Linked DNA regions of Diceros bicornis minor. The main gene of each other region encodes a partner of the protein of the gene in region 3 in a complex. Links are inferred from orthologs where the notes say so. Each region holds a gene or a part of one and is shown on either strand. Other genes may lie near its edges.

Evidence for each region.
Region 1: the proteins of BAK1 (region 3) and PXT1 are in contact, whole or in part, in a crystal structure (PDB 8GSV), measured with the Homo sapiens proteins. The link is inferred for Diceros bicornis minor from reciprocal best matches to the Homo sapiens genes BAK1 and PXT1. Residues at the interface, in NP_001179.1 of Homo sapiens: Ile81, Gly82, Asp84, Ile85, Asn86, Arg88, Tyr89, Glu92, Phe93, Met96, Leu97, His99, Leu100, Tyr110, Lys113, Ile114, Ser117, Leu118, Glu120, Ser121, Asn124, Trp125, Gly126, Arg127, Val129, Ala130, Phe134, Asn182; in NP_694535.2 of Homo sapiens: Ile78, Ile79, His80, Lys81, Leu82, Ala83, Met84, Gln85, Leu86, Arg87, His88, Ile89, Gly90, Asp91, Asn92, Ile93, Asp94, Arg96, Met97.
Region 2: the proteins of BAK1 (region 3) and BNIP5 are in contact, whole or in part, in a crystal structure (PDB 8IGC), measured with the Homo sapiens proteins. The link is inferred for Diceros bicornis minor from reciprocal best matches to the Homo sapiens genes BAK1 and BNIP5. Residues at the interface, in NP_001179.1 of Homo sapiens: Leu78, Ile81, Gly82, Ile85, Tyr89, Glu92, Phe93, Met96, His99, Leu100, Tyr110, Lys113, Ile114, Ser117, Leu118, Ser121, Asn124, Trp125, Gly126, Arg127, Val129, Ala130, Phe134, Ala180, Leu183; in NP_001010903.3 of Homo sapiens: Ile246, Ile247, Gln248, Met249, Ile250, Val251, Leu253, Leu254, Lys255, Arg256, Val257, Gly258, Asp259, Gln260, Trp261, Glu262, Glu264, Gln265, Ser266.

The regions. Positions count from the first base shown.
Region 1 is NC_080753.1:28,455,070-28,462,386, reverse strand, and holds the start of PXT1 (peroxisomal testis-specific protein 1), read right to left. Parts: upstream 3,082-7,317; coding exon 2,913-3,081; intron 1-2,912.
Region 2 is NC_080753.1:28,533,061-28,540,556, forward strand, and holds the start of BNIP5 (protein BNIP5), read left to right. Parts: upstream 1-4,484; coding exon 4,485-5,001; intron 5,002-6,106; coding exon 6,107-6,226; intron 6,227-7,496.
Region 3 is NC_080753.1:30,951,062-30,958,176, forward strand, and holds the start of BAK1 (bcl-2 homologous antagonist/killer), read left to right. Parts: upstream 1-4,058; 5' UTR 4,059-4,278; intron 4,279-4,344; exon of another isoform or gene 4,345-5,364; intron 5,365-5,397; exon of another isoform or gene 5,398-6,176; intron 6,177-6,318; 5' UTR 6,319-6,348; coding exon 6,349-6,418; intron 6,419-7,115. Other genes in the region: gametogenetin-binding protein 1-like, read right to left, coding at 1-4, 952-1,099, 1,330-1,418, 1,841-1,956, 2,564-3,024. UniProt on the Homo sapiens protein: Plays a role in the mitochondrial apoptotic process. Upon arrival of cell death signals, promotes mitochondrial outer membrane (MOM) permeabilization by oligomerizing to form pores within the MOM.

The DNA.
Region 1 (7,317 bases), about 2.5 Mb from region 3:
GCATATTAGATGTGTATAGTAGTATACTTACCTATTGGATATACACTATCTATAACAATAATTATAGGTTATGAGTTATTCCCTAAGAACTTGGAATTGAAAGAAAAAAGTGTCTTCTGAGAACTAAGAGGCAAGATTAATGTATGTATAGTGGAAAAGGGTGACACGGGCAGTCATTGGAAGGGGACAGGCTACCAGCTCCCCCTTGCACAACCTGCTCCCTCTGCTGCAACCCTCATTTCCCTTAACCCCTTCAGGTCTCAGTCCAGGGTTACACCTTGAGGGAAGGATTCTCCAAACTCCCTGCTGGTCAAAGCCCCATTACATCATCTGAACCTCCTCTTAGCACTTATCACATTATTATTAACATTGGTACATGTAATTGACCTCTATCTGCCTCCTCTACCAGACTGTACACTCCAGGAAGGAAGGGACTGTTACTGTTTTTGTTCACCATTGTCACCCCAGTACTTAGCACAGTACCTGGAAAATAGTAGGCCCTAGTATTTTTTTGAATGAATAAAAAAAGAAAATGTGTCCATCTAGAGGAGGAGGGAGAAGAGTTGCTGAGCCTAGGAGGCAAAAAAATAAAAAAGAGGCAAAAATGAACATCCATGCACTCTCAAAGGGAGAAAGAAGCTGAAGAATTGGACTCTACTGACTTCTACAATTAATAAATCCCATTCACACTACATATACTCATACATATATACATATATATATGTTTTTAATTCTGCCCTTTCTTATTAATAATTATTACGTTTTTAGAGCTGGGCAGGGCCTCTTGTTGTTTTTACTCATTTTCGTTTTCCCAAGAGTTTCTAATTTCTCTTAAATGACGTATCAGGATGGTTGCTCTGGACTTCCCAAGTTCTTACCCACCCCCTCAACTTTTCTGAGAAAAAGTGGCTTTAAGTTCCCCATACAAAAATTATGGTTTTTTTCCCAAAGAGTTATGTTCATACGTGTAGATTTCCCCCAAGCAACAGAGATAAATTTTGGCTTCAGCGGGTCACTTTCCACTCAATAATGGCTTGTGATTTCCATTTTCAGGTCTGTGTTGCAGCCTGGGACAAAACCCACTGAGGGAGTAACGCGACATTCTCAGTAATCAGCTTCCTCAGTAAGAGTTTTACTTTGGGATGTACTTAGGGCCTTTTTTTTTTTAAGGTGCCCGGCGGAAGAGCTTCCCTGGGCCGTCTAAGCAACCTTCCACACCTCGCCGCGACCCGCGACCCGCCGCACCGCCCAGGCCAGCTCACCGGCGGGAAAAGCGCGCGCTCCGCGGGGCGGTTTCGGCGGGCGAGGTCACGTGGCCCCCTGTGGCCAATGGGGAGCGCGTGGGGTGCGCGCGCGGCCGGGGGCGGTCTCCGGCAGGGGCGCGCTTGGCTCGCTTCCAGCCACTGACCCGAGCGGGAGGCGGGGAGACCCGGTCCCCGGAGTACGCAGCCGGGCGCCTGATTAGCCTGGCTTTGGCCTTCTCGAGTCTATAGTAGTTAACTCCACGTCCCTCTCACACCGCCCCCTCAGTCTGCACATCCCCCACTTCTTCAGCGATATCCTAAAGTATAAAGGGAGAAAGGCGCTGCTGCCTCCTGGGCCAGGAAAAGCGTGGGGAGGAAAAGGGAGGCTTGTGTCCGCTACCACCTCTAATGGGGGGGGGGCCCTTGTTTCTGATTGACAGTCGTTGAACGCACACTGGTGGCCCACCCGACTAAAATACCAGTCACAAAGAAGATTTTACATACACAGTAAAGCGAGCGTTCTAGGCATGAAAAACGTGTAGATTAAGTAGTTGGCTGTTACTTATTATTTATAATCAAAGGTAGTAGCATTATTAATTCTTCACCCTGCTTCTGCTTTTGAAGTGAAACTGTAATTACGAAAGCATTTTGGGTAAATGTGGCAACCGCCCACAGGGCACCTCAGAAGGTACCCATCAGCTTTAGGAGCAATCTGAGGATCAAGTGGTATAGCGAGTGAGAAAACATGTTGGAAAAGGTTTACAATAAAATATAAGTTCTAGAAGACTGGTGACGATTGCACACCTTTGTGAATATACTAAAAACCACTGAATTGTGCACTTTAACAAGTTGAACTTTATGGTGTATGAATTACATCTCAAAAAAAAATATATGTTCTAGAAGGTACGCATAGGTGACAATCTCAGGCTTTGAGACATAACTGTTGACACTTGCACAGATGAAAATTCAAAACTTTAGTCAATTGAGTTCTTTCTAGAAAACGGATACCACATTTGATATGGTGGCAAGAGACGCTCAGGATGCTTGAAATTTCCACTTTCTCAGTGGCATGTAAATCTTTTTAAGTTGGAGAGTAGTTTGAGATTAGTTTTAATAATTCCTTTCAGGTGTTTAGCATATTTTTAATCTAAAAGTCTAAAACTCCATAAATTTAACCCCAACATTTTTTAATGCTCTTCAAAACAAAAGACTTTAATTTTCCAACATTCTAAGACATTTAGGAATCATACATTTTTGCAAAACAAAATTTCAAGTTTATCGTTCCTTCATGTTCTTTCCTATACTGGCAAAATCAAGAAGGAACCTAAACTGAATTTTCCCCACCTTACCAATGCAGACACCGTCAGGTCAAGTGTAAAGACAAATTTTTATTAAAAAATAAATTTGATCTATTTCAGTAGATTTGAGATCATCCTAATTAGTTGTAACATCAATGATTCGGCGTTAACAGAAACTAAGAGATTTAATACCAGGAAGCAAAGTCGGTTTTACATTTTTACCTCCTAAAAACTTTGATGAATAGATTTACCACTCTCTTCTTACAGTTAATGTTTAAATAATCTAATGCCCAATTTTATGTCCTCAATATCAAGAAAAATGTACCCTAAGCAGAAGATTTATCTTAGTTTAATACAAATAATATCTTACCGGCGTTCCTTGACATGGCTGAAACTTGCTGGGAGCTGACAAGTTGGGTCATGTATGCCTTCTGAAAACTGTATTTCACCCAGGGTGATTTGCAACAATTTGTTACTTTGGGAGAGGGATTCAGAAGTTCTTTAGGTTCACAAACAGTGGCATCATATATTTTCTTCATGTTTTTTCCCTGTTGAAAAATACATTTTCAGAGGATTTTCCCCATTTCTCAGTATATATTTGGTATGTTAGGTGAAAATTGGTGTTCTAACAATACAAGCAGCCTTTATTCCATACATAAAAGGGTTATAGATTTGGGTGGAAGATGGAACAGGGGGATCTCTAAGGTCTTTTTCAACTTAGATAAACATCTTTCTGTGTTGCTTGGTCTTTAGATCTGCTACACCACCCACATCCTCATCTCCCCGCAGTTTTTCTTCATCTTTTCAATAGCCACATTCCATCAAGGGAACAGTCTAAATTAGTACACACAGAAAAAGGAGAGACAAATTAGTGTAACCAAAAGAAAAACAGATCAAAAATCCAAAGTGAGGAGGTTTGGAGATGGGATACATTCTTTGTCTTACTCCCTGGTATGTGCGTGTGTGTGTGTGTGTGTGTGTGTGTGTGTGTGTGTGTGTGTGTGTGTGTTTCCTACCCAGAATGATTCTGGTATTCTCTCTTTAATCCTCCACATACATAAACACACAGTCCACCTCTACAGACACTAATGAAGGCTATTCTCCAGCCCCTTCCGTTTTTTCCTAACATTGTAGTACCAATCCAATAAATTGAAGAATTGAACTAAGACTTTCATTGTCTACCAGGGCACTTAATTCTCTCTACTTAAAGGTTGGCCACAGGGTTTGACTTTCTATTTTACCTTCTAAATCTAAGCAGTTACTGGAAAGGGAAGAAATGGATAAGAGAGGTCAGACCGTGGATAAGAAAGGATAAGAATGACTAAAGAAGGTAACGGGGGAGGACTTCAGGAGCCTTAGATCAGTGCTATCCAATAAAAACATATGAACCACATATGTAATTTTAAGTTTTCTAGTAGCTGCATTAAAAAAGTAAAAAGAAACAGGTAAAACTAATTTTGACGATATATTTTATGTAACCAAATATATCCCAAAATAAATCCAAATGATGTTATTTCAATAGGCAATCAATATAAAAAATTATTAATGAAATATTTTATATTTTCATTAATATAAGTCTTCAAAATCTGACATGTATTTTACACTTAGAATACATCTCAATTCAGACTAGCCACATTTCAGGTGCTCAGTAGCTACACGTGGCTAGTGGCTACTGCATTGGACAGTAAATACAGTAAAGCTGTATTGCACCTTCAGAGGAAGAAGCAAGAATTGAAAAGAAATGACTGAGAGAAAGGCAATACGCAGCTGTCTCAGCTACATAAAATAAGAGGGGGGAATCATCAAGCAGAATTCTGACTCATCATTTTTCAAATGTACCACATTTTCCTGTGTAGAATGCTACTTCAATATTTTGATTATTGTAATTTGGGCCAGATTAGGGGAGAGGGTTGTGGGATGAAGGGGTGTGAGTGCCTGGGCATTCTTGATGTCTTAGGCAGCCTGACGTTTTAACTATACTCGTCAGGCAACCTTCTGACCTTAAATTTGGTTTCTCAAATAAATTTTCCAGTGAGAAAATGACATGCTCTCCGGCTAACGCATCAGAGCCAGATCAGCCCTGGATAAAATTATTAAATTACTAAGTGGGCAAAGTTGATAGTCAAGATGCAGTTATGGGGTGAGGTTCTTATCTGAAAGAGCCAACTGACAGCTTTACCCATCAGCCCATTGTGAAACTGTCATTTTGTACTAGTTATTCACATGACATTGCTAGATAACAGAGAATAAAATATCTAACCATGGTCTTTTAAATTAAACGATCAAGAATGTTGGACTTGATTTTCCCCAAATAGGTTTTTATTATAATATAATTTTTCCCAAACAATTCTGCAGGATGTTGAGGTATTTATTGAAAAATAATCAATGCTAATTATATTTTTCATCTAAATTTTATTTTTAAATGTATGTAAAAAAAACACTATGCTCTTTTATATAGTATAATTAGTTAGTATAATTAGATAATTGCCTTTAAGACATGGTGTGCCTACCTGAAAATACCAGGAAACCCCAGGATTTACAAAAGCATATAATGGATTTGCACATGGAAGCCTAGGCAACCATTGAACTCATATATGTTGTCTATCTAATAATCATTGGTTTATGTTAGGTATCTTGTCCTATTATTTCAATATATATTTATGATATTTTTCACTTAATAAAATTATTTTATCTACTTTGCTTGAAGGTTGTTCCGACATAAAGTTTAAAATATATATGAGTGAAGCTTTTATCATTTCTTGCAGCAACTAATTCATCTATGGGTTCACACTGCTGTCTATATCTGGTAGGCTGAATAATGGCCCCTCAAAGATGTCCACATCCTAATCCCCAGAACCCATGAATATTTTACCTTACATGGCAAAAAGGACTTTGTAGGTGTGGTTAAATTAAGGCTGTTGAGAAGTGGAGATTATCCTGGATTATCTGGGCCCAGCCTAATCATATGTGTTCTTATAAGAGGAAGGCAGGAGGGCCAGAGTCAAAGAAGGAGGTGTAACAATGGAAGCAGAGGTCAGAGTGATGTGAGAAACGGTCTATGAGTCAAGGAACAAAGGAAGCCTCTAGGAGCTAAAAAAGGCAAGGAAACCAATTCTCCCCTAGAGCCTCCAGAAGGAACACCAACCCATTTTAGACTTCTGACCTCCAGCACTATAAGATAATAAATTTGTGTTGTTTTAGGCCACTTAGTCTGTGGTAATTTCTAAGAGCAGGAATAGAAAATTTACACCCTATGTTGATCTGAGTGCATATTATATTATTGTCAGTACGTTATAATTTTAAAAGTGTTCATTGTAAAATAAACTTGGAGATGGACAAGAGTCCATATTTACAGTATAGTGTTTCCATAACAATAACTAGGATTGTTGAACTCTAAGTGACTACTTATTGATGGTGGCAACTGTCAATTAAGCTACGAGTCTTTATAGCAAACAATATATATTGATCAATAGTGAAAAATATATATTAATCCCTAACTGAATGCCAGACATTGTACTAGACACCGGGGATATAGCGGTCAACAGGTCAGAAATGATCCCTTCCCTCATGGGGGTGACAGTCTAGCAGGAGAGACAGGCATATACACCTAATTAGAGTCGTGGCATGTGTTATGAAAATATACCATGGGGAGTGGACCTAACCTAGGCTGGGTGGTCAGGAAGGACTCATCTAGGAATGATGTTTAAGCTGGGACCTAAAAGATGACTTGGAATTGGCCAGGAGGGAAGATGAGGAAGGGAAAAGAACATGTTTCAGAGAGCTGGAACACCAAACGCAAAAGCCCAAAGGCAGTAAAAAACTCAAGGCATTGGAAGAACTAAAAATAAAAACACTGAAGACTTTCCAGTTCAAGATAGCTGAGATCTTTTCTGCACCACTTCTCTCAAAAATAACAAGGAGGGGGGAAAAAGACCCCACAAACACAAATTTCATTTTTATTGAACTGGTAGTCATCCCAAACCACAATGCATGAAAATGGAAAATGGATGAAGGATGGCAAAGGACTTAGCAGACCCAAGAGAAGGAGAAACCAAGGAGAAGCAAGGCAGGTCACCCTGAGGAACTCTGGGAAGACTCAGGAAATGGAAGCCAGTCAAGTGCAGAAAGAACTTACAAGAGTGGAGATGGAAGGAGTGTAGTGCTGAAGAGGGAGATTTGTTTGAAAATCTGTTTAATAAGTGGTCAGATCCCCAGGTCCCCACTGCACCTGATAGAATTGGGCTACTACTTTTACCGCTATAGGAAACAGGAAATGTCACCTCTGGAGAAAGTAAACCAAAGAAGTTCTAGATGTGGGGACACCGGGCATAGATCAGAGTGGGAGTGAGACATCGTCCTGCAAAGAGAGGAATTAAGTCTGAAACTGAGAATGAGACACCCAAGCTTCTCCTCCTGCTCACATACAGAACTTCGCAGCCAAGTTGTACTCTCTAGCAGAAAATAGAGTACTTTTCAGGAAAAAATGAACCATACCAGAAAAAAGAGCCACCAATACTGACATTTGGGCGTCTCCATAGGAAAAGCCTACAGTGAATCCCTTCAATTGACAAGACTCAAATGTGCACTCAGGCCTCCAGTCAGCTTTTAGGACTTCACTCTTAAAATATGAATGGACAAAAATCACTAGATACCAGAGTAAAACCTTCAACATGAAAAAATAAAAAATCTCCAACATGTAAGCATCAGGGGGGAAAAAGGAACCACAAGAAATAGAGACAATGCAGGGAGCATAAAAATAATTCAAAGTATCATCA
Region 2 (7,496 bases), about 2.4 Mb from region 3:
CTCTCTGGAACTTGGAGTTAGACAGGGAAGGCAGACAGCAAATAGATACTCAAATAATTATTCCCTTACGCCTGGGGCAGGGCGTTATGGGTGCACGTAGGTTTATAGTGTACAGGAGTGTCTTTCGGTGACATATGAGTGTCAGCCCGTTTGGGTTGCTATGACAAACTACCACAGACTGGGCTCTGCTCTCAAGTCCTGATCACCTCTCAAAGGCCCACCTCCTAATACCATCATCTTGGGGGCTCGGTTTCAACACATGAATTTTGGGGGGACACAGACATTCCGTCTATAGCAATGAGTGTCTGTCTGTGGCTGTTGACTGTGGGTCCACATGTGTGTGCCACACACACTCCTCCTTGGCGCAGCCAGCTGCTGGTTAAATATTGATTGTGTGAGCTACGGGCGTGGAGAAGGGAGTGGCAAGATCTCCCTATGAAACGGCGCCAGAGCAGTTATAGAGTAACGCGTCTGGGAATAAATGAGAGAATAGTATAGATGAGGTCGGTGTATACTTTAGAAAAGCAACCAAAAACGGCAGCACACTTGGGAAAAATTGGCAAATTTCCTGCTCCACAGTAACTCAAGGTCAGCTCTGGGTGCCTCCTCTGGGGCTTTGCTGTTGTTTTTAAACACGTTGCTGGTGTACGTCACATCTTACCAGAAGTCTTGTGATCTGCAGATCACCTGGGTATTTCTGAGCCGACTTGGACTTTGCTCTGAAATCCACTTTCTGCCAAGGCAATAAACAAGTTTACAAGAGCAGCGGGTTTCCACGCAGTCTCAGGGTGACTGGTCTGGAAGCGTGTCCCGGACAGCATTTGGACCCCCCGATAGTCAGGCGGAACATGCCCAGGCAAAGCAGGGGCACAAAACAAGAAAAAAGAGGAAGAAAGTCTTGCTTTGATGAATTCTGGATAGGCAAAATTTTGCAGTCAGCAAGTCTGGAAAGATTTAATTTCAGCACACAGAATTTAGTGTTTGTGTGGGGAGATAATATTAAAACACAATCTTCTCAGAGCTTGGAGACTAAAAGTCTGAGAACACATCTGCTACAGAGAGGATCTTCCAGCATATCACCCCGGGGGTGGGTGGGTTTGCCCTCCTTGGCCAGCCACACTCTCTCAACCCCCCCGGGCCTGGTGTTGCAAGACAGAATCTTTGGAACATTACAGAGGAGGAGCAGTCGGAGAGTAGGAGAAGAGCCAGGCTGAGCTGGGTCACAGCTGCCCAGAGAGGAGAGAGTTTCAAGAAGGAAGCGGGCATGGTATCAAAGGCCACAGGACCTTGAGGGAGGATGAGGAATGGGAAGAGGTCACTGGATTTGAAATTAGGAGGCCTTGGGAGATTACTGGGGAAACCTCCTGGATGGCTAAGGCCACACATCACTCATCCTGCCTCTCCCTGTTGCTGGGCCGCAGCAGCTGCTGCATGTGGCTCTTTAGTCTTCCTCACCTCCCTCTGGGCTCAGGGCACTGTAGTTCCAGGGAGGGGGTCACCAAATCAAGGCAGTTTTCTTGAAAAAACATCAAAAAGGAAAATATTGCCCGGTAGAATTGTATTGATGCTCTGATTAGAAGTAGCAATGTGTCCCTTGAACGCGGTAGGAGGCCACTGCGACCATGAGCAATGGCGAAAACCGTTTCCATAGCAATGACAGGTTTCTAAACGATTATTGCACCTCTTTTCCCATTAGCTGGGAAGGATGCTCCGGCCCTCTGTGCAATGGGCCCCCTAGAGCCAATTTAGCATGTGAAGAAAAGGGGCTGAGCTGAAAGAGGGTGTCCTGTCTGTTTGGCTGGTTTGGTGGTTTTGTTATTGAACAGCTTCTCTTCCAACCCCATCCAATTTGCCCTGGCCACAGGAACATATGGAAAAAGCGGAGAACTCTGACACCATTCAGTAAAGATTTCTAGTTCAGCTTACTTGGATCTTAAAATCAAATAGACCTTCCACCTAAATTTGTCTTCTCTTAAGACCATATGCTACTGGAGAGAGAGCAGATATGAGGGGAATAGGGCATTCTGTCATCACCACTTCCTCACAACCCCACTCCTGTCCATTTGAAGACCAGAACATTCTCTTTGAGGGCACACCCTATATCTTGTTTATTATTATATCCCTCGCACCGAGCATAATTCCTGGTACATAGTGGGTGCTTATTAGTGTTTGTAGAAAGAAATAAGTGAGAAGAAAGAAAAATATTTTCTTCTATGATTTCTTCTCTTTATCCCACCCCACACCGTATTTCAGAAGCACAACAGCAAGGCAGCCTCTGAAGCTTTCAAGAACATTAGTCAATTTCCACATAAGATATAGACGTGTATTGCTAGAAGTTTGCATATAACCCAGATGTTCCTTTCAAGGAACATTAAATAGCAAATAAAGCCTTCGGAATTGCCTGCCTCTTCCCTGGCCTGTTTTGTGATTTCCTCGAAGATTGTCCACTTGTGGATGCCCAGCTGTGCTGGTGGTAATCGATGGTCTCTGTCCTTCCTCCCCAGACCAGGGCTCAAAGGAGGGAAGGCATCCTGAATGTCACTGTCACCTTCAAACCTCTCTGTGATTCCGCGTGCCTTTTCTTCTCTCTCTTTGTGCATCTTCCTCACGTTCACAATGATCCCCCACATCTGAAATTGCAATTATAGATTCTTATTTTTGCCTCTAAGCTGGACATAGTAATAGACTACATTTGAAAGTAAATGAATCAGTTGGTAAATGCAGGAGATGTGATGTAAATACATAATACATACATAAATACATAATACACTCAATAACACTTAGTAAATGCCTGAGAAGGCTGTAATTACAAATTAGAATAGGCAATCCATGAATTTAAACTCCACAGGAATCTCTGGGAGCTCAGGTTTGGGATTCAAAACCATATTTGGTTTTTCCTTTAACTTCCACCAAAGGGCAAAGGGTTTCTGAACACTTTAGAAAAATTGGAAAGCCCTAGGAGTTTCAGATCACAGACACACAAATGAACTGCACACACCCCGGCCTGCTTCAAATGCCGCCCAGGAGGAGGTGGTTCTTTCGTCTTTTCCGTGGGCAGCTGCTTCATTCTAAATGGAGACTGGAAGGGACTCTCCAGCTGTAATGTGCGACTGATCCAAATACATTTATTGTATGTTAACTGCACTACAGAGACACCTTCTGTATTGGACAGTTGACTGTGTGTGTAATACATTTATTTATCTATTTAATAAGGAGTTACTCAGTGCCAGCAATGTGCCATGTATTGTTCTGGATACAAGACCTAGCAAAATAGAGAAAGGGGAGGGAGTGAGACTCAGACAATAAACAATTAAACTTCAGGTGGTAAGGGAGGACAGGGTGCTAATGGGGGTGCACAGTGGGGCCTCTATGGGAAGGTGACATTTGAGCAGAGCCCTGAAGCAAGTGAGGCAACAAACCATAAGGCTGTTTAGGGGAAGAATGTTCTAGAAGGAGGGAACAGCCAGTGTCAAGGCCCTGAGGCAGAGTCGGCCTGAGGGACAGTGAGCAGGGCTGTGTGAGCAGAGTAGAGAGAGTGAGTGAGAGGTGACTGGGGAGGTAATGGGGCCAGGTCGTGTGGGGTCTTGCCAGACACTGGAAGGACTTTGACTCTGAATGAAAACGAAGCCATGGAGGCAGGAGCGCCACATGCTCTAACTCATGTTGTAAAGCCCCCGGGGCTGCCGAGGGGAGAAGTTTCTGGAAGGAGGACACGGGTAGAGCAGGGAGACCAGTTAGGAGCTTCCTCAACAGTCCAGGTGAGCAGAGCTGGGGCCCAGACCCCGGTGGAGGAGGTGGGAGATGTGGCTGAGGTCTGGATCAGCTGCTGGATCAGATGCGGGGAGAGAGAGAAAGAGAGGAGTGGGGGATGACTTCACGTTTTTGGCCTGAGCAATTGGGAGAAGAGAGTTGCTGTTTTCGGAGCTGTCTTGTGAAATATTCTTAGCAGCCTGTGAGACAGAGAGGCAGGTCTCGGGCATGTTTCAGACGGGCATGTGGGCCAGAAAAGGGGCACGAGCCGCCTGAGGCCTGAGGGGCAGGACTTGGCCTCTTGTTCCAGCCGCGTTCGCTTCCTGTTGCTGCTGTAACAAATACCACAAACTCAGTGGCTTTGGAACAACATGAATTCATTATCTTACAGTTCTGGAGGTCAGAAGTCCAAAATCAGTCTCAAAGGACTAAAATCAAGGTGTTGGCAGGGCTGTGCTCCTTCTGGAGGCTCGGGGGAGCTACGGACTGGCTGTGAGATCTGGGGTACCACCTCCTGTGGTAGTGTAGTCCAGTTTCCTCCTCTGGAAAATGGGGACAAGGATGCCCCACCCTCCCGGGTTGCTGAGGAATTGAAACGAGACAACAGGGTGGAGAGTGGATTTTACTGCCGGTTGTGGGCAGGGTGGCTGGGTGCGCCGGCCAGCGTTGGCAGCCCCCCTCGGGGGCTCTGCTCGGCCTCTCCTAAGGGAGCTGTTTGTTTTGCTTGTAGTGCAATGGAGCGCCCACGGGGCCCGAGGAGGCCTCAGTCAGGGAGGAGAGCCAGGTCTCTGGACAGGTCACAGAACCCCAGGAAGGACTCTGAGTCGTGGGACTGCCAGTGCCTTTCGCTGTCCACCACCCCCTCCAGGAGGGCACTTCGCCGGGCGGTCAGCGACGGGCCCGGACGTCCGGAGAGCCCAGCTCAGGCTGCGGAGACTCAGGGCACCACGGCCGCAGCCCTCGGCCGGGAGGAGACCAAAGAGTTTCTCCCCACTGAGCAGAGGCCACTGCAGGACGCCAAGAAAGACAAGGCCCAGAGAGGGGCCCAGCAGGGGTGGCTGAAGACCCTGCTGAACTTCTTCCTGAGGACAGGCCCCGAGGAACCCAAAGAAAAGGCCAGCAGGAGGGCAAAGGGGAAGGAGGGCCTCTCGCAGCCTGCAGAAGCCCCTGAAGCACCGGGGGAGCCAGCTTCCAGGAAGAAAGCCCACGACAAGAAGGCCAGCCGCAAGAAACATGGCCACAAGCAACGTGGTGAGGAAACCAAGGGGGCCCAAGACCGGGAGGTGGCAGGCCAAGAGGCAGGGCTGCCCGGGACGGCTGCTGCCTCGCGCTCCGAGGAGGCTGACCTGGGCCCAGCTCGCAGGGGTGAGCAGACCATGCCCGTTTCTATGGTAACCCCACTGCCCCACCCCAAGGGCTAGGGTGCTCTAAGCCAGCTCCTCAAACCTCTCAAGTGCGGGGACTGGGAAGCTGGGGCAGCTATCAGGGACAACACCACTGGGAAATTTCTCTGACGCAGAATGGCACTGTGGCTGAGAGCTTGAGGTCAAACCCCAGTTCCGTCATGCACTAGCTGTGTGACCTGGGGCTGGCGACTCCCCTCTCTGAGCCTCAGTTTGTTTTCATCCATCACATGGAGATAATAACGGTTGCTGTCTCATGGGGTGGCCCGGCCCAGAGCAGGCACATGGAAAGTGCTCCATAAACGATAGCTGTTATTGTTAAGTACTCCAGCTCCGGGATGATGGACCAGGGAGAAATGAGAAGGCAGGGAGGGAGGAGAGGAGGGAAGCCCTACCTACCCCCCAACTAGTCCATATGTGAGGACTAGGGGTGGATGTGGGGAAGTAGAAAGAGCCAGCTGCTGGGGTGTTGGTTCTAGACTTTGGTTCTAGACTTGCCTCCATTAGGAATAAACCTGCTGTGTGACCTAGAGCAAGTTGCTTCCCCTCTCTGGAACCTTTGATTCCTTATTTGTAAAATGAGGGAGCTGGCCCCAAGGTGCTTTCCTGTTCTGACTCTAGGATCCTGGAGTTGGGTGCCCTATAGACACCTAGAGAAGGATGGAGATTTGCCCCATAGTGCTCAAAACTCACTGTGTTTTTAATGGGAGAAGAGACCTCAGGAAGATCCGGGATATTTTGTGGGTTGGGGGAAGGATGTCTGGGTTGAGGCAGCCTCTTCGAATTGAAATCTCGGTGGGTCTCTGATGTTCTGGTGGAGGCTAGAGCTGGCTGCTGCAGCGTCTGTCCTGCTGTGACTTCTCTGCCGTTTTATCGTGTTGATTAACAAGGTCAGGAGAACAGCACTGACGCACACCCACACCAACACACATTTGCCTTCCTCTTTATTCCAGGCGGGGGCGATTCTGCTCTCCACCAGGCCTTGCCCATCGAAGGCGAGGGTGCTGGACTCTCAGAGGTGTTTGCCCACGTCACAGGTCACCAGCGGGAAGAGGAGCTCACAGAGCTTGACCGTGAGTCGGAATCCACTTAGTGTCCTCTGCCTGCAGCTGGGGTGGCCGTCACCAATGAGATGGATTGCTCTGGACGGCTGCTTAGCCCTGGCACGGTCGCTCTCAAAATGCAGATGCCTTGTGTGTTAATGCGAATGGGACTTTTTAAAAGTCTTTTTAAATTTATAGAAAGAATATAGAATAGAGGAATATAGAATTTATATTTATATTTTTAAATATATAGGAGAGTGCAAAGAATAGTTCAAGGCATACTCATATACTCACAATTATTCACAGTTGGCCATATTTGCTTTGTGTGTGTGTGTGTGTGTGTGTGTGTGTATAATTTTGTTCCTGAACCATTTTCAAGTAAAAGGATGCTTCATCCCTAAATAAGCATGCATCTCCAAGAAATAAAGACAGTCATACACAACCACAACACTGTTATTGCTCCTAATAAAATTGGTAATGCTCTATTAATCTAATTCCCTATAACGAATGGGCATATTATAAAAGATATGCAAGGGAGGAGCTATGTGTTTGTCAAAGAATAGCTAAAAGGCATTTAGTTGGTTATTTTGCAGGGTGTTTATTTTATGCGCTAATTGTTTTCTCACCTGAGAGGGAATCAGCTGGTAGACTGAGTCAAGGAACAAAAGCCAAACAGGATTTAAAAATGAGAGAGAAGTGAAGGAGGGGAGTGAGGGGCAAAAAAACCTGCAGACAGCCTGGAAACAGGGAAGCTTGTTTGCCCCTAAACTGCTCAGCTGGCAACTGGCAGAGGCCACTCTAGGCACATTGTCTTTGGATGGGTTGACTGGAGTGTCAAAGAAAACCATTTCTGTTGTTGGTGGCTTCCCTGTAAAGACTCCGCTGTGTGGTGGAGGCGTCATCGTGGCAGGCTGTCTGCGTCACGCCTGTTGGAGTCCGTCTGTCCTCCACTTTAGTTAGGCCAGGTCTCCACCATTTCCCCCACGGGAATTTTGCAGGTTAGAAGATAAGCATCACCGTTACAAAGTATTTCCAAGCACAGTCCCTCATTTGACGGCCTGACAGCTTCTGAGGGGAGCAGGACAGGGATTTCACAAGGGAAGAGAAGAAGGCCCAGAGAGGCTAAGAACTTACCCAAGATCACACAACTTGCCGAGCCCAAAGCAAATATTTACAGATCTACAAAGTTCAGAGGAAATAGTGGGGCCCAAGTTGAATGCTTGAAGGGCTGACCTGAAATTTCCTATAAAAATTTCCTGCTTTGGGTTCGTACCCTTCTCTGTGGATCTTCCAACTCTCT
Region 3 (7,115 bases):
AACCCTGAGAGCCAGAGAGATGGGCATGAGACAGGTCAGAGCAGGGAGGGGCAACCTGCTGGGGGCCGGAGGAGGAGGTGGCGGCTCTGGACCTCATGCCAGCCCTGTGTAGTCCCTGGTCACCCCCAGCATAGCCCTTTCCTCTCCCATCACCTGGAGCCAGCTGGACACCACCTCCCCCTGCCTTCCCCAGGGCTCCCTCACTGTCCATGGGCTCCCTCCCTCATCATGACTGTGACTCTCCTTACCTCCTGGGGAGACATGCCAGGGGCAGACCTCTGCCCCTCTTCTAGCCACTGACTCAAGAGCAAGGATGGAACCACCCAAACTTCCCGAGTTCAAGTCCTAGCTCTGCCCCCTTACTAGCTGTGTGGCCTTGGACAAGTTACTTAACCTCTCTGTGGCTCAGTTTCCTCACTGTGAAGTGAAGATTATAATAGGACCTACCTCAGTTGTGATGTGGTATTTCAATAAACGTGCATAGAATAGAGTCTGGCTGATAGTAACGGCTATGTAAATGTCAACAATGATTTCCCCATATTATGGTATTACCGCTGAGCCATCTGCTCACCATGTCCTGACAGCACAGGGGCTGCCCTGGGAGAGGGGACCCTTGGGGCACAGCAGTGCATGATGGGAAAACCAGGGATGGAGGTGGCCACAGAAGGAGTTAGAATTCCAGGCTGGGAAAAGGTGGTGCTCGAGGGGCCACAGCCCAGTCACAACCTCCACCTCACTGCCTCCCAAACCCTGAGGGAGAAGGACCCTTGCTAGACCTAACGTGGCCTCCAGTCCAGCCACACACTGGTCTCACTTCTCGGGTGGTCATCTTAAGTCCTCTGGTACCACCTGGTGGTGAGAACTGGTATCGCACCCGTGAGCCTCTGGCCAAAGTGGGGCTCCCTGCGCCTGCAGGCGGGTTTGGAGGGGAAGTGGGGGCGCCGCACTTACCCACGGTGTCTGTTGACATAAAGGTCTTATGCAGCGGTGACTGGAGGCTGACAGTGCCTGGGACACAGAGCTTGAATGACCTGTCCTCTTCCTCTATTTCCTCTTCCTCCCCTTTCTCCTCAGATGGGAAGCCTTCCTTGAGAGGAAACTGAGGGCATGTGGGGTCACTGAGCAGGTGGAGAAGGTGGGGCCCCCAGCCTGCAGCCCCACCCCCACCACCAACCTCCAGACACAGCACAAAGCAGCAGGGAACAGCTCCCAAAGGTCAAGAAAGGGCACTGCGCCCCCTAGGCCCAGCCACATTTCCTGAGGCCCAGCCAGATGTGGGGAGAGCCCCACCCAGGCTTCCCCCCATTACCCCAGTCTGGCCCCACAGACCTTTGCCGACTTCTGAAGCTGCTTGTACAAGGTGAGGAGGCGGTTCCAGGGGGTCGCCCCCACCTTCAAAGAGGCCAGCCTGAGGTCTCCTGTGAAGGGCCAGTGTCACTGACAGGCTGATAGCACTGGGGGGTAGCCCAGGCCCAGAAGGGCAGGGACATTGGCGGTGCTGAGCTGAGGTGGGGTCTCCTTGTTTTCTTTAGCAAATGCCTACTATGTGCCAGGCACAGTTCTAGACACTTTACAAAGAACACCTCATGTAATCCTTGCAACTACCCTCTGAGATAGGCACTATTATACTCCCATCTCACAGATGAGGAAACTGAGACACAGAAAGGTTGAGCAACTTGCCACTGTCACACAGCTGGGCACAGTGGAGTTGGGATTCGAACCCAGGCAGTCTGCCTCCAGCATTCCCTCAGACCGTCCCGTGTCCTTCCAGGCTCCACATCCTGTGGAGTCCTAGAGGAAGAGGGTCCATTTCACGCCTGTGGCCGCCACGTGGACTCACCATCAAGCAGACGCTCCTTCTCCTCCCTGGGGAAGGCCTCGGGGCTGACCTCCAGTGGCCCCACGGCCCTCTGCAGGCATCCTTGCTCCACCTCCAGGGCTCTGGCAAAGTGGCTCCTGATCCCAAAGCAGAGTCAGGTGGGGCCCAGAGATGTGGCAAAGGCCCCTGGACATGCCAGCCCCTCCAAGGCTCTCACACAGGCTCTGCTCAGCCCCCTCCATCCTCCTGCTCCCAACAGCTCCCTGCTCTGCCCTCTGAGGTCTTCATCATAGATGGGGGCTATCCCTCCCCAAAGGTAGGGTGGTGGGGAGCAGAAGGAGAAGTGGGCCCCCTTCCTCACAGGGAGTGGGTGCCAGGTCCAAATGGGAGTGGGAACTGGGAGGGACAGAGTGGGAGGGAAGTTGGGGGGGGTGGCTGCGGCAGAAAAGAGATAGGAAGCAGTGGGAGCCCACCCGGCCTGGCATGCTCCCTTCCCAGTCCCCAGCCTGTCCCCCTTTCATCTTTGGTGCCTCCATCCCTGTCTCTGTCTCCTCCCCACACCCCCATCTCCAGGCTCCTCGCCACCCAGGTATCTGGTTCCAGTCTGCTGCCCCTCCAAGGACTCACATTCCTGGACCCTCTCCAATCTGGGTCCTCCCATCTCAGGCCCACATCCTTCCACCGGCTTACATCCAGTAGCTCCATCCCAGGCCCCTTCCCACCATCCACAGCCCAGCCCCTCACCTGTCTGAGGTCCCTGTGTCCCGGGAGGCCTCCCCTGCTGCCTCCTCCTCCTCCTCTTCCCTCCCCTCCTTCTCAGACAGGTCGTCCAGCACCTCCTGGCTTCCTCTGGGCAGGACTGACTTCACCTCCACACCCTGGGCCATGACCTTCAGGACCTCCCTGGGGGTGGGGGTCTGGGTCCCCGTGTCCCCCAGCCCCGAGGGACCGTGCCGTGGCATGGCCACAGAGAGGATGCAGGGCACTGTGGCGGGTGGCCTGGGCTCCTTCCTCCCCACTCCTCGGTGGTGGTCCGTCATCAGGGGGATGGCGTCGTGCTCTTGTGAGGGGCACGCCCGACCCCTTGACAGTGCCTTGTCAGAGCTTTTCGGGCTGCTCTTGCTCCCCCTCAGGCTACGGAAGAAGCGCAACACGGAGGAGCGGCCCAAAATCCGGGATCGAGGGGTTGTGGCTGGGGCCTCCATCCTGAGGGGGACCCTGACTGAGAGGGAGGGGCCGTAGCAGCCACTCCAGGACCAACTGCTTAAGAACAGGAGGAGCTTTCAAATTAAAACCTCCAGTTGGAAACTTCCAGGAGTTCTAGAAGGCAAAGGTCAGGCAGGTGGGGGGAGTGATGGGGGGCTGGGGGGAGGACATGATGGCGGGGGTTAGTTGGGGACAGAGAGGGCAGGGGGTCGATGAGGCAGGGGAAGGAGGTATGGGAGCCAGACTAGGGGGTGGCTGGTGAGGCTCCAGGAGGCATGGGGGTGGGGGCAGACAGAGGAGGCTGGGGGGACCAGGGCCCTGAGAATGGAGCAGAGGCTCTTAAGCACCCTGCACACACCTCTCTCCGCCTAGCTGTCCTTCTCCAGCTGTGGCTGCTTCTGTCCTGGAGAACACTCCCCATGGCCAGATAGTATTTGTCCTCCCCTTGCCCTCCTCTCAGCACCCAGCTTGCCCATGCCCAGGTGGTAGCACAGACCCCACTGTGTTTTCCTCTCTGTTTACCTGGCTATCACCTTCAGGATTGTGTATCTCCAGAGACCACCGAGGTGCCTGGTGCACATGTCTTAACTGCTCGTTGAATCTCAATTTGGTATTATTATTCCCCACGGCCATCTACAGACCTGATTATACACCCAGCTCAGGGACCTTGGGAGAGTATCTTAAACCAGCTGAGCCTCAATTTGTTCATCTGTAAAATGGGTGTAGTCGACAGCGCCTACTTCCAAGGGTTGTGAGAAGATTCAGTGAGACAACGGTTGCTTAAGCGCAGGGCACTCAGTAGTGCTTAAGAAACGTCACCGTCCTTTTTTATTGGTGTTGATTGATGGAAGGGAGGGAAAGATCAAGGACAGGGGCTGGGAGTCAGGGGCTGAAAACCAGCAGGGGAGGGGGAGCCACTCTGCCTGCCTGGGGCAGAGGGTAGGGGGCGGGAGTGGCTCCCTGGGCCGTGTGAGCCCAGACCGCCCCCCAGGCTTTAGGCTGGTGCATCCGTATCCGGCGGCCACAGAGCAACTTCCTCTAGAGGGAGCTGATTTGAGCCGGGAGCAGCCGGCACCTCTATGATCGCCGCAGCCTCGCGGGTCCCTAGGGCCGCGCCTGGAGAAGCAGAGGCTGCATCCAGACACCAGGAATTCACTGACGCCCGGTTCTGGAAGCCAGGCCTGAGCACCATACCCCTGGGAGCAGCCTCGGCCCCGCTGACCCGCCCCGGGCCTGGGCCAGGGTCCGGGCAGGTAAGCCGGGAGGATCTTGCCCATCCTCCCCGCTCTCAGCAGTCCCAGGCCCAGGGTGGGGCAGCGAGCCTGCAGGGAGTAGGGTGGGGAGGGGGAGGCCTCAATGCCTGGGCAGTTCCGCCAACCCCTGCTGGGGGCCTGATCCAGCTAGGGCTCCCTCTGGCTGCCCCTCAGACAGCTTCCCCTCTCGCCTCCGCCCTGGGTGCCAGAGAATCGGGTGCCAAAGACCCAGGTCCTTTAGCGGTCTGGGGGATGGGAGTGGAGGTCAGAGCCAAGGTCAAGGGCAGGGGGAGAACTTTCATGGTGCTTCCTGCTGCCCCAGGAGCCCCTGGGCAGCCTGGCCAGGCATCTCCCCCTGGGAACATCCTGGGCCCAGCAAGTGGGGTGCAGTGGACTCCCCTTACCAGGAACTCAGGCCACTTGGATGGGGAAGGGGTGAGCCCAGGTCGGCACAAGGCCTCTGGCCCTGGGGGGCCGTTCTGAGGCTCTACCTGCTCCCTGGCAGTGAGCCCCCGGGATGGTGGTGGAGGGAGCCGGGAGTGCCATCAGCATCCTTGGGCCCTGCTGTCCTGGGGCTGCCGGGTTTCAGGGACCAGGGGAGAGGGAAGGGAGAACTTGATCAGGAAGGAGCTGCCGGGATGGGGGTGTGCCAGGCAAAGGTCTGTGTTACTGAGGTCGAGCGCCCAGGGGTGGAGGGGGTTCTGCCTTCTCCCCGTCCTGCTCTGAGAGGGTGGAGGGGTGGAGAGCTGAGTGCACAGGTGGTCCTGCCCTCCCCCACCCCTTCTCTTGGGGCACTTTCGAAAATGGCCCCAGGCCTGAGAGGGAGGCCGGCGGGGGGTACACAGGCCCTCCCAGGGAGAAGGGGGCCGCTCAGGGCGGGGCTGTGCCCTCCCCAGGGGTGGGAGGAGGGGTGCTTCTCGCCTGGACGCTGATGGAGGCAGCTTTCGGGTGGAGGGGAAATGAAGGGGGTACAAACTGAAAGTGAAACAGCTCATGTCCAGGAAATACTCCCTCTGTCAAGGGTTCATAGAGCAGATCGGGGCTGCGGCCAGGGCTGGATGAAGAGGAAAATTGGGGCTGGGACCGGTGAGCAAGCGGGTGGTGGGGGGTACATATGTGAGGCAGGCTGGGGGCTGTGAAGAAGGCCCTGGCTCTTGAGGGCTTCCTCTGCTCACTGCAAGGCAGGCGTGGGAAGAGCAGAGGCCAGACGTAAACAGGGACAGCTGCCCTGGATAGGACACCCTCTGATGTCCACAAACTGGAAAATAAATCTGACGTGAGTGTGTTGAGTAGACGGACTCACGGAAATTCAGATAACGGTCCTGACTGCCTGACCAGCAAGGTGGCCTTGGGCACTAACCTCTGCGCCTCACTTTTCCCACCTGTAAAGCGGGTATGTGATGCTTACCTTGCTGGGTTAATGTGCATTTTCAGTGTCCGGCACCCCCTGGGGAGTGCTCACACGTGGTAGAAGTATACCATAGGCGCTCAGGAAATGTTTGCGGCTAACAGGCCTGAATTGGAAAACAGGTGTGCTCTGACCAGCCAAGGGGAAGTGGGACCTTCAAGGACGGGCTTCATGGGTCATTGGCTGGAAGGTGGCGAGCCCGCGGTAAGCGTGTGTTGGTGGCGTGCACGAGGCCCCAGGAGCAGCTGAAAGAGCCCCCAGCCTCTGAAACCAGCCTCACTCGCCCAGGAGTGAGATGAAGTGTGACGAGATCCACTAGGCACTGCTGGGGCCCCTCCTCCCGGAGGCCTGGCGGCCAGGGACAGATCCCTGGGTGTGACTCGCGGCAGCCTCGCCTCTCTCGCGCCGGTCTCCCGTTCTCCCTGGAAAGGTTGCCAGTGAAACCCTCTCTGAGTTCTGATTCCGCCAGCAGACTCCACAAGGACCTGAGGTGGTGAAATAGGAGTGGCTGGAGCTAGGGCTGTGGGGTCTTTTGGGAGCGGGGGGCCCCTCCCTCCTATGTGGCTGTGGGAACGTTTTGTCAGTGGCCCCTGCTTGTCCCCATCTCTGCTTTCTCTCACCCATCCCCACAGGCTAACCTATCCTCCACTGGGACCTGAAAAATGGCGTCCGGGCAAGGCCCAGGTCCCCCCAGGCAGGAGTGTGGAGAGCCTGCCCCATCCCCCACTTCGGGTAAGGGTCTTTCCGCCCCTCACTCATCCCATAATCACCAGGGCCGTCTGTGAGGGTGCAGAGAGCAGAAGTGGACAGGGTCAGCCAGGACTTATGGGCAGGCTCTCCTGCCTCAGTTTACTCACCTTGGATAAATGAGAACAGTCTCTCCCCACCCAAAGCAGGTGGCTCCTTGGCCTTAGAAGCTAGAGTTCGGTCAAGGTTAAGCCCTGGGAGTTGGGGAGGAGTCTGGGCCAGGGAGGGTACAGAGGCTGGGAGAGGCCAGGGAGCGCGCATGAGGTGGGCACAGCGCCATGCCAGGGCAGCGGGGCAGGATGGGGGAGGGGAGGAGAGAAGAGCAGGGCGTGGCTGGCCTATCCCTGCCTGAGGAGAAATAAGGAAGTAAGTTGGCTTATCACCGAATCAGGTCTGCTAAACGGGGAAAGGGATTGCTGGGGAGGAAGTAAGATGGCTGCCCTTCTTCCCTCTTCCCACGGGACCATCGGGAAGCCTGCAGCCCACAGCCCACTACAGGCTGTTCCCTGGGCTTTGGGCTCAGCTCCCAGGTCTGTCCCTATTTCCCTTTGTGACTTTTACAGCCCCACATTCCCTAAGCCATAAGGGCCGGGTCCCTTGTACATGCTCAAACAAACTCGGGGGCCCAGAGGCCTGGGATTATATCTTGGCTTCACTGCTTGTTCTAGCTGTATGACCTTGT